2 linked regions of the Yarrowia lipolytica genome follow. The protein of the gene in region 2 purifies or fractionates together with the protein of the main gene of each other region. This does not show direct contact. Links are inferred from orthologs where the notes say so. Each region holds a gene or a part of one and is shown on either strand. Other genes may lie near its edges. The genes, in order: YALI1_B11200g and YALI1_E03220g.

Evidence for each region.
Region 1: the proteins of YALI1_E03220g (region 2) and YALI1_B11200g purify together in Saccharomyces cerevisiae (affinity purification with mass spectrometry; 4 studies listed by BioGRID, with this or other methods). This does not show direct contact. The link is inferred for Yarrowia lipolytica from reciprocal best matches to the Saccharomyces cerevisiae genes SDA1 and REA1.

The regions. Positions count from the first base shown.
Region 1 is NC_090771.1:1,118,031-1,123,152, reverse strand, and holds the start of YALI1_B11200g (uncharacterized protein), read right to left. Parts: upstream 3,079-5,122; coding exon 1-3,078. Other genes in the region: YALI1_B11183g (uncharacterized protein), read right to left, coding at 4,316-4,759. UniProt on the Saccharomyces cerevisiae protein: Nuclear chaperone required for maturation and nuclear export of pre-60S ribosome subunits.
Region 2 is NC_090774.1:319,230-324,171, forward strand, and holds YALI1_E03220g (uncharacterized protein), read right to left. Parts: upstream 2,782-4,942; coding exon 625-2,781; downstream 1-624. Other genes in the region: YALI1_E03185g (uncharacterized protein), read left to right, coding at 1-519.

The sequences.
Region 1 (5,122 bases), on a different chromosome or scaffold from region 2:
CTGGATAAGCACAGAGGACTTTCCGGACGTGGCTCGGACCAGATTGAGCAGGTTCTTGGTCACAAACGGCGTCATAACGTACTTCTCGTCGTCGTAGGGAGTCAGCGGTCCCGGCTCCAGCCAGTAATGCTCGAAAGCAACATGTTTGTCGCTGGGGGCCTTGGTTTTCTGTGTCATGATCGACTTTTGGTCCTTGAGCTTGTTGACAGTGTACTTCTTGATGACTTCATGGAGAGTAGCCTCGGAGTCGGCATCCAGCAGAGTCAGGAAAGACATGCAGAAGCCCTCGTACAGCGACCGACGCAACCCTCGGGGTCCAAACAGATGCGCAATCTGCGACACGTAGACCAGTGTTCTGGACAGCGTTCGAATGGAGAAATGGGGCTTCTGGCCCGCTCCGTCCACAATCTTGTTCTCGGCAGACAGTTTCTTGGCTGTTAAGTACAAGTCCGCCACGTCGTTGTGGATGCCAATAGTGGAGTCCGACACACATAAGTGGCCAATGTACCGGTCGATGATCTTGAGCAAGTCATCAAAGTTCTCGTCGGGAGAAGACACGTAGAGCTCTGTGAACCGCGACCGGAGACCCAGAGGCAGGTCTCGTTTACCGACATCGGTAGCCGGATTCATGCATGCAAACATTCTGAAGTCTGGATGAGCCACAATGGTCTCTGCGTCTCCCTTTTCGGACAAGAGAAGTGTTCGGGGCTCGGACAGAAGATCAGAAATGGCCTCCAGAGTGTCGGGAGACGCCAGGTTGATCTCATCGAGCAACACCCACTCGCCCTTTCGCACGGCCTGGACAATGGATCCCTCGATGAACTGGAACACAAACGACGACTGGATCTGCTTGTACTGGATCTCGAACGCCAGGAGATTGCTCTGGAACTGGTCCCACTGAGCCTGCAGTGACACGGTTTCCTTGTCGGTCAGCTTGCGCCGCTTACCGCTCTCGGATTCCTTCAGCCGTCCAGCAGACAGCTTGACCGCCTCCTTCCACAGCCGAATGCAGTTCTTCCAGTGGCGGATGTTAAAGGCCCGGGTCAACAGCTTCATGAACTCCACGTTCTTCTTTGCAGAAAAGGTGGCCGAAAACACCTCCTGGAACTCATCCATCAACGGAACCGCAATCATAGACACGTCGACGGGCTTAAATCCACCCAGAAGATCGCCGGCCTCAGTCTGCTGAGACACGTTGACAACGGTGAGTTTCTTGTTCATCAGAGAAGCCACGTTCTGAACCACAGTGGTCTTACCGGTACCAGTTTCTCCAACCAAAAGAAGCGGCTCGGTGGAAGAAATGGCCACGCAAATCTGCTCCATCAGCTTGGACGCGTGGTTGGTGTTGGCAAACAGACTGTTGCTCTTCTTCTTCTGGCCAGTGACTTGTTTAGTCAGCAGGCTTCGTCCCACCTCCAGGCTGTCGCTGCTATCCTGGTAGGCAGGAACTCGGCCAAGGAGAACATCTACCTTGGGAGCAGACATGCCCAGACACTCTCCAATCACATGGGCAGCCTTGTTTCGGGCGTCCGAGTTGCTCAGAAAGCCGGCAAAGCAATCCAGAGCCTCCAGAAAGATGAACTCGTACACGTGGTTGGGCAGAGGGTCATTTGGAGACGTGTATCCGAGTCTCAAGATCATGGCACTCACTCGGTTGCACAGTTTGATTAGGTCGTTCAGGGAAACCACTCGAGAAACGGCAGATTTCGTCAGAGAAACAAAACTGGATGAGCCGTACAGAGCGACAATGGCCGCAAACGTGTCTTGGAAGGACTCGGCCATGGCGGAAATCACGTGGTATCGCTCCTTGATGATGGTGACAATCTCCTCGGGCTGCAGCTCCGGGAGCTCCACCTGCTGCCATAGTCGCAAGCCGATAATCTCGTTTGTGTGAGCCCCGATCTTCTTTCGCATGGTTCCCACCAGTCGGAAGCCAGCGTGGGCCTTGATCACCTCGTCTCTCGAGGGAATGACGAGTTCTCGCTTCTCCAGTAGAGACAATAGAACCGAAACCACATCGGTGGGGGCTCGGTCAATGTCCTCCACAAGTACCCATCGTCCTTCCTTGATGGCTGTAGTCAGTACACCGTCTCTCCACTCGAAAGACCCCGGTTTGGAGCCGGTGGTGTACGCTCCAATCAGCAGCTTGGAGTCTGTCTGATCGCCGAGATGGATTCGCACCATGTTGTCCAGCTTGGACAGGTTGCGGGCAATCTCGTTCACATAGAAGGTCTTTCCCGAGCCCGAGGGGCCGCTCAGAAGAATGGGCGCACTGGTGGAGAGCGCCTGGCCCAGCTCATTCATGATTTCAACACTCGTGTCGGTCTCCACGTAGTCAGAAGCCACGGGAGAGGGTCCTCCAAGTCGAGGAATCAAAGAAGAACCAATAGGAGTGTTGAGAGAGTTGAGCTCCGAAACGGGGATGTGAATGTGTGTGGTAGGCAGCAGGTCACGTGCCAGAGCCAGCACGCGCTCGCTCTCTCTGTACTCGAGCTCTGCGTCGCATTTGGTCATTTCAAACACCTTGTACAGCAGCTGCTTGGCCATGTCAAAGGACATTAGTCCGCTCACCACCTCCTTGTCCACCAGACCGCCGTACGTCTCTCTATCAAACGAGACGAGGCGGTAGAAGGCGAGCAGAATGGCCTCTGTCTGTGTCTCACTCTGGGGCACCTTGAGCATCTCCATGAAGCCCATCTTTGAGACGAAATGAGAGCAGAGGGTCTGGATACCCGGGCACACAGCAACATCACGCGCGAGAGCAGTGAGCACGAGAACGGCGTCATCGCCACTACTGGCGCTTGTGATCCACCGCGCCACCAGATCGGGGGCGATTTGGGGGCATGAGGGCAGAATTGGTGTGGTTAAAGCGGTGGTGGATAATTGCGTGAGGGTGTGGTTTTGGTAATCAGTAGGGATTGATGTGGTGACTGGGTTAGTAACGCAACGGTAGTGGGGATCGGGCAACAGGAGAGTCACCTCCGCCGGGATCAAGTGGCACATGTTGTTGACAGACACGATGGCACCAGTTTGGACAAGTAAATCAATACTCAATGCTTCAAATGACCTTTCATCCATCTCCAAGTGTCACACTTGAAACATGGCTGACATGGTCCATGCTCACCGTCACAACACAACATAGTAACACGGCCAACTGACAACCTGGTGTCGTTTGCATTTATTCAGTTGTTTGTAAGTTGTGTTTGCCTCTTTCTCCCTTCCTCTCCCTACTTGCTCCTCCTCTCTCTCGATACTCACTCTTGTCACCGGATGCAACCATTTTGTATCGTTTATCGTATGTATGAACCTGTAGTCGTAGGGCAATGTCGTAATCGCAATCTGTGTTAGAATCGCTCCAATATCTAATCTCCAATCTCCAATCTCAAATATCCAAGATCCAAGATCCCGCTCGCCACCATACTCACTTGAAGCGTAATGTCGCTGCTAGGTCTCCGTCTTGCAAGACAGGTAAATCGAATGAAGCTGGCGGGTCTGTATGTATGTGTCAGATTCTGGGTTAGTTTTGTCCGCCGGATAATCTCCAGTCGCTGCTCTCGACGTCTCGCCCCACTCACAATTCCAAAAGCTCCAAAATCAACAATATCAAGATCTGCTGAAAAGTCGTTACACGATCAAGCACTGGTCTGCAAAAAAATATAAGTTCATGCACCAATATTTTTTTCCATCGCAATGCACCCCGAGCTTATTTTTTATTTTTTATTTTTTATTTTTTATTTTTTATTTTTTATTTCAAAATCTGGAGAAAAAATACAACAGATTTGAGGGTGTAGAAACAGTAGTAACGGTGTCTTTGGCACCAATTGGCCTGGTGATATTTATTGTTTTCTGCTGACAAAAAAAAAACAGCCATATTGATCGACTTTACCACACTTCAAGAATGTCCAACTATAGGGAGAGTAATTGTGGATATTACTTATAGCTACAGTAAGTACTGCACATTCAATTTCCGTGACTCACTTCATCTACAAGTGCTGACACTCGATAACCCCCTTGAACCATCTGTTTCTCGAGACTATCCCCTGATCATCGCTTACTAAGCAAAAAACGTGCCTATTTGCCACCGGATCAACGTCTTGACACGCCTTAGATGCAGCTTCTTTTACTGCGCGTTTACTCACCATTTACTTGGGGTTTCAACTAATTCATTACCTTATTCAACCCAACTGTGGACGTCAGAAAAAAAAGTGAAGACGTGTTAAGATGAAAGCACCTGTAGGTCCGTGCCAAGCAGCATGTCGATAGCTTTTTCTCGCTGGTGTCTGCTCAGAAGAGCTGCTGGGCTACTCTTCGCTTTCTATGCCTCTCCCTTATTCCACTTGTCCACCACCTTGGCCATCTCCTTTCTAAACCCCTGACTATCAATGCTAGTCTCGGTCTCATCGTAGAATGGATTGCTCTTGTACGCCACCAGCACCTTGAGCACCTGCTTGGCAAACTGCTCAATGCTCTCGGAGCCCTCCTGGGCCTCGCAGCCAATCACAATCTTATTGGCCGTGTTGGTGAGCATACCGTACACCGCCAGCTTGTGCACGTATAGAAGAGACACGGTGCCGGCGTTTTCGTTCTGCTGCTGGCCCAGATAGTCCAGAGCCATGTATGCTAGTGACGAGTAGTCGTACTCGAGCTGTGTGGTGGTTTCGCCTTCACCGGGATAGATTCCGATGAACAGAGGGGTGTTCTGTGTTAGAAGAAGAAAGGAGCTTGTACGACAGCATCGCGACAGTCCATCACCAAACATGACTTGGACACCTTGTCTCTTCGACGTCAGACAATGCTCTTTCAGCGACAGACGTTGAATGAGATAGCAGCTTGCTTGATACACGAACCACGCTGTTTCTCCAGAATTCACGCGAGGGTGTGTGACAGCCAGTCCAAATTCACGATAGGGTGTGTAGCAGCTATGATAGATTCCAAATTGAAATTGAAAGAAGAGTCAAGGACGCGCCGGAAGGAAAGGAACACAGGTAGTGAGTCCAACGAACCATCTCTGTCTAGCCGTAGGACTATAATGGGATGACTCCAGTGATGCATTCAGGCAATCTCAACACACACCGACCTATGTGGCACCACTTGAGCTTCCCGCCCCTCAGTCTTCTTATCC
Region 2 (4,942 bases):
TCGAACCACGCCCCTGTTGTGAAGCTGGAAGATATTATTGACGAATCTACTACACCTCCGCTCGCTGATGCCCTTGTGTTGAATGCTCCGAGGACGGAGATTTTACATCGGCCAAGTCACAGAGCATTGCAAGTTTACATTCAGAACAGGCAAAAATGGCAAAATCTAATCGACCGATTGCCTCATCACGAGGTTGTGTACCTCCAGCGTGTCACTGACTTACTCAGTGGCGACTTTGACGAAGTTTACCACCAAGTATCCTACCATGGTGATGATTACGACGCGATAAACAGCCAGCCTGGAAGGTGGAACTCTGTTCACGACGTGTATCTTACTGATGTGACTGAATCAAAGGAGCTTGCACAATACTCTGTGGAACAAAAGTTCAACCGCAAGAAGTACTTGGAGGAGACTTTGACGGTCAACAAGGTGGCGGAATGGCTAGCCAACTTTCAACCTACGAAATACGGCCATCCTATCCATACTATTACCAGTCACCAGACGCTTACTAACTACTAATATACAATACAATACAGCTTGTCAGTGGTGGATCCGCTGTCTATAATATCAATACAACAAATAATACCTTTTTTCTATACCATGCTATAACTGAACCATCTATAACTAGAATCCCTTCTTCTTCTGCTTGTCGATATGAGCTCTCAGCAAACGCTTCTTCTCGATGAGCGATCTCTTGGCCTTGCCCTGGACATCCTTCTTGTGGATAGTCATCATGAAGTTCTTCTTTCGGGCCTTCTCTCTGTTGGTGGTGGAGTGAGGGGCGTCTCGCTTTCCCTTTCGAGAACCGAACTTTTCTCGTCCTTCTCGTCCTTCCTGGGCCTGTGCAATTCGCTCCTCTCGCAGCTGCTTGTACTTGACAGGTCCAATCAGGCCACGAGCATCGACCTCATCCTCGTTGGTGAGCTTCTTGCCCATGAGCTTGTCGAAGCCCGCCTGGGCCTTGAGCTCCTCGAGCTTGGCAAAGTCAGCAGGAGTGAGAATCTTGGTAGCCATAATGTTCTGGGCCTCGGCAGCAGCGTCGGCAGCAGCCTGGGCCTTAGCAGCTTTGGCTTCGTCGTCGAGTTCCTCCTCGTCTTCACTGTCAGAAATGTTGTACTCCTTATCGTCCTCAATGTTGATCCATCCGGACTCAGAGTCGTCAGAGTCATCATCAGAGTCAGAATCAACCTCCCAAGCCTTCTCATCATCTTCCTCCTGGACCTGGTCAGCTTTCCACTTGGCCAACAGCTCGAGACCCTCGATACCGGTCTGGCCCTTCTCAATACCATACTGGAGTCGAGAAGAGGTACCGGCCTTAGCGTCAGCAGACATAGCCATGGATGCCTCCTTACCTCTATCCTTTCGTGCAAGCATCTCGGGTGCAACCTCTCGGTAGAGGGAAACAAGAGATCGAGCAGCCATAACAACTGCTTTGGCCTTGGAGCCTTTGTAAGCAGTAAGATCCTGAAGAAGGGGAGCCTCAATAGCAAGAGGATTTCGTGCCAGAATCTCACGGATGGTGTTGATACCAGCAGAGCAAACCTCGGCAGAAACACCATCAGAGACGAACTCGTCAGCAATCTTTCGGATCATGGGTGTAATGGCATCAGGGGGCACGAGATCATGGGAAGCCTGCGCGGCGGCAGCCATGATCTGAGTGACGTCCTTCTGCTTGGGGGTGAGGTATTTCAGGAAATGAGAATAGATGCCCAGAACGGTGAGCTTATGTGTGCCGATCATTCGAGACACGAGGTTCATGATCTGAATTTTCTGCTCAAGATCGTATCTATACTTGCATAAGTTTGTAAAGAGCTGGTCGGCAAAACCCTGGGGGTCTCGCAAAAGATGCAGGGCGGAAAAGTTGAGGTAGGTGGCAGACACACCACCGTTACCCTTTCGCTTTTTCAGCAGTTTGTTCATGGCAGACTCGGCCTTTCGTCCTCGCTTTCGGGAGTTCTTGTTGATCTGTAGTCGATGCTTAAGAGCACCGATCTCGGCAGAGGCATCGGAATCAGAGTCCTCGGCGTTAGCCTCCTCTCGCTCCTTGTCAGCGCCAAGGAAGAATCGCACACCAGAAATGGCAATCTTGGCCTCTCCGTGAAGAGTAGCCTGAGCCATGATTTCCACAGTTCGGGAGTCGTCCCAAATACCTCGTCTCCACAGCTCTCGGGTCAGTTTAGTGGCCCACAGACCAGAAGACTCTCCAGTGGACAGAACATTAAATAGAAGTGCTTGGACAGACTTGTTGAGCTTCTGAGCTTTGCTTCCAGTGTTGGCACCCTTGACGATGGTGACAATGTTGGAGTAGATCTGAGTTCGCAGCTGCTTGCTGCCAGTGATGAGCAGAATGGGGAAGAGGGTGGCGATAAGCTTCTCGGGGGTGATGACACCCTTGTTCTTGAGAAGAACCATAGACTGGATGAGCTTCTCTCGCAGATCCTCGTCGAGATGCTGGTGGTGATCGAGGATCAGCTTGGACAACTCGTCGGGGAAGTTGGCTGTTTCTTTGGGGTAGCACGATGCAACCTGTGCGACGAATCCAACGAGATCTCCAAACTCCTCAGAGTTCTCAGTCTGAGGCGAGTTCATGTAAATGTCACGAATGGACTCATAGTGCTGGTACTGGAGAAGAAACTCCTCCTTGTAAGAAGGAGGGTCTCGTCGCACCAGATTTTGCAGAAGTGCAATGTTGGTGGGCAAAAGGGCTGCTCTCTTTCTTTTAGCCATTGTGTCGTGTGTATGAATAGAATGCTGCACGATGAATTTTCTTATGCAGTTCATATAATTTTTTTAGAGTTGGAACTCTATACGATGTCGCAGTTGAGATCTGTTGGCCAAGTAATTACTTAGTTACTTTATTTAAATTTAATGGAAACTACAGTACTTAATGTGTGTATCACCTGTGTATATTGATTCGAGTTGTGGTGGGTGCGAGTGAGTCGCGGGGTACACGTACTGTAGGTAAGTATGTGGCTTCGAAACGCATTCGGTTGTTGATACCAAAAGATTCCTGTCCGCATACGGGTGTCCGTTTACGTATCGTACATTCTCTGGGGTAAGTGCATGCGGGGTTGTTAGCAACAGTGACATGGACCCTGGACTGGAAGTGGGGTGGTTTTTGTCGATAAAAGCAAGCCGAAAATGTAGCTGACTCCTGCATCACTGCTTCATCCTCCACCCTGCTGGACTCACATCAAACTAACCGGATACACGCCGTATTATTGTTTTGGCTGTTCTTTGCACCTTGGTCCTACAGTAATCATGGTGTTTACAGTGCGGAGAGAACTGCTGCAGTTATCGTAGCTACATCATACATCATCATTAACGTCTCTTCGTTCCATATGAACCGGGACACACTTCCACTGGCTCATTACTCCAAGGGTAGACAGCCATGTCATCGCGGTTTTGGCCATTATGCTTGTACTCCGTAATGTTGGATGTAGACGGCATCGAGGACATTGAGTACAAGTGACTTCAATACCGTATACACTCGTACCAACTTCCATAGAGCTTCAGGATATGAAACAACACGGCTCGAAAGAGCACCCTGGATTTGTATGGATCTGAAACTCTGTAACGTGTGCAACAGCTAATTACTCCTTGTCAAAGTCACGGCTTCTCGCTCAATAACAAAGCTGATAACGTTCACACAAACAATATAATATAATATGTTTGAACGGCTACAATGGTCCTGATAGTGTGTCCTATCTGTATGTCAGTCGGTGATATACGCCGCTTAGAAAGGCTTATGGGATAAATATCTGCATGGTGAGTGAACCTCATGCATGATAAGATGTGTCTTTCAATCTCTCTTCTCGAGTGAAATCCTGTCTAAAAGAACCACGTGTCTATAACTTCGGAGTAACCATCATTTCGTTGCCTCGGTGTCACATTCATAGTGCATTGTTTTGACAGCTGCAGACAGCGGGAGCCGGAGATGATTGCTTTGACACAGGAATGTGTTTCGAAAGCAGTATATTGCCATGACCGAGTATGTGTCACGTCTCTATTAGCCACCGACAATGTTGAGACTCTACACAATCAATGGTTGCGTCAATTCAGCATATTGTCAATACTACAACTGTAGTTACTGCAAAGCTTCCAGCTGAGCTAGATCTCAATTTTGAATAACCCAAACTGCGAGCTGGTTCAGTCTTGGTTAGCGGTCAATCTAGAGTTACTGTACTTGTATCATGAATCAGGGGACGAGGGCTGTTCATCCTTTGCTTGGCAGCGGCTAAGTTCAGCTAAGAAAACGGCGCTGCGTAGATCACTTTGCACTTTTCAGATAAGAAAGTTGGGCGACTCATTTATGAGATGCTCAGCATCTTCCATTTCACACGTGGCGACGCTTATTTTACCACAGTATGTATATTCAGTTTCTACAGCAACTTCGTTTGAAGAGTAAGCCCCTATACATTCGATTAGTAAACCGCCTCTACAATGTATCGACAAGTATAACGACATATAAAGAGTATCTCTGTGTTTTGTTTGTTTATGCTACAACACCAGCACCCCTTTGAATTACGATACCGGTCTCTTCCAGATATGGCGTGGAGTTATCCCTGCAACATGGCACAATGGATGTCTAAGTATATGTACACTACGTATGTACTACTACATTCTGTACCTGTGTACCTTTTCGCTAAGATGTAGAGAAGACTATACTTCCAGGCTAGGGGGAGTGTATTTGCCCCTTGCGGGGTGTTCTTTTCTCCGAATGTAACATGAATTTTGGCTGGAACGTCCGGATCTGGTACCGCGGAATTTTCACCCCACCCTCGGTCACTCGAGAATAGACCTGGGTGCACCTGCGTGCCGCTATGCTTTGAAAATCAGTGCTAAGACGGAGTTTAACCCACTTGTCATTTTATTAAGCTTAATGGCTTTGCAACAGATGTGCAACATGGCTCAAGCAGACGCTGCGATTGGCGCTAGACGT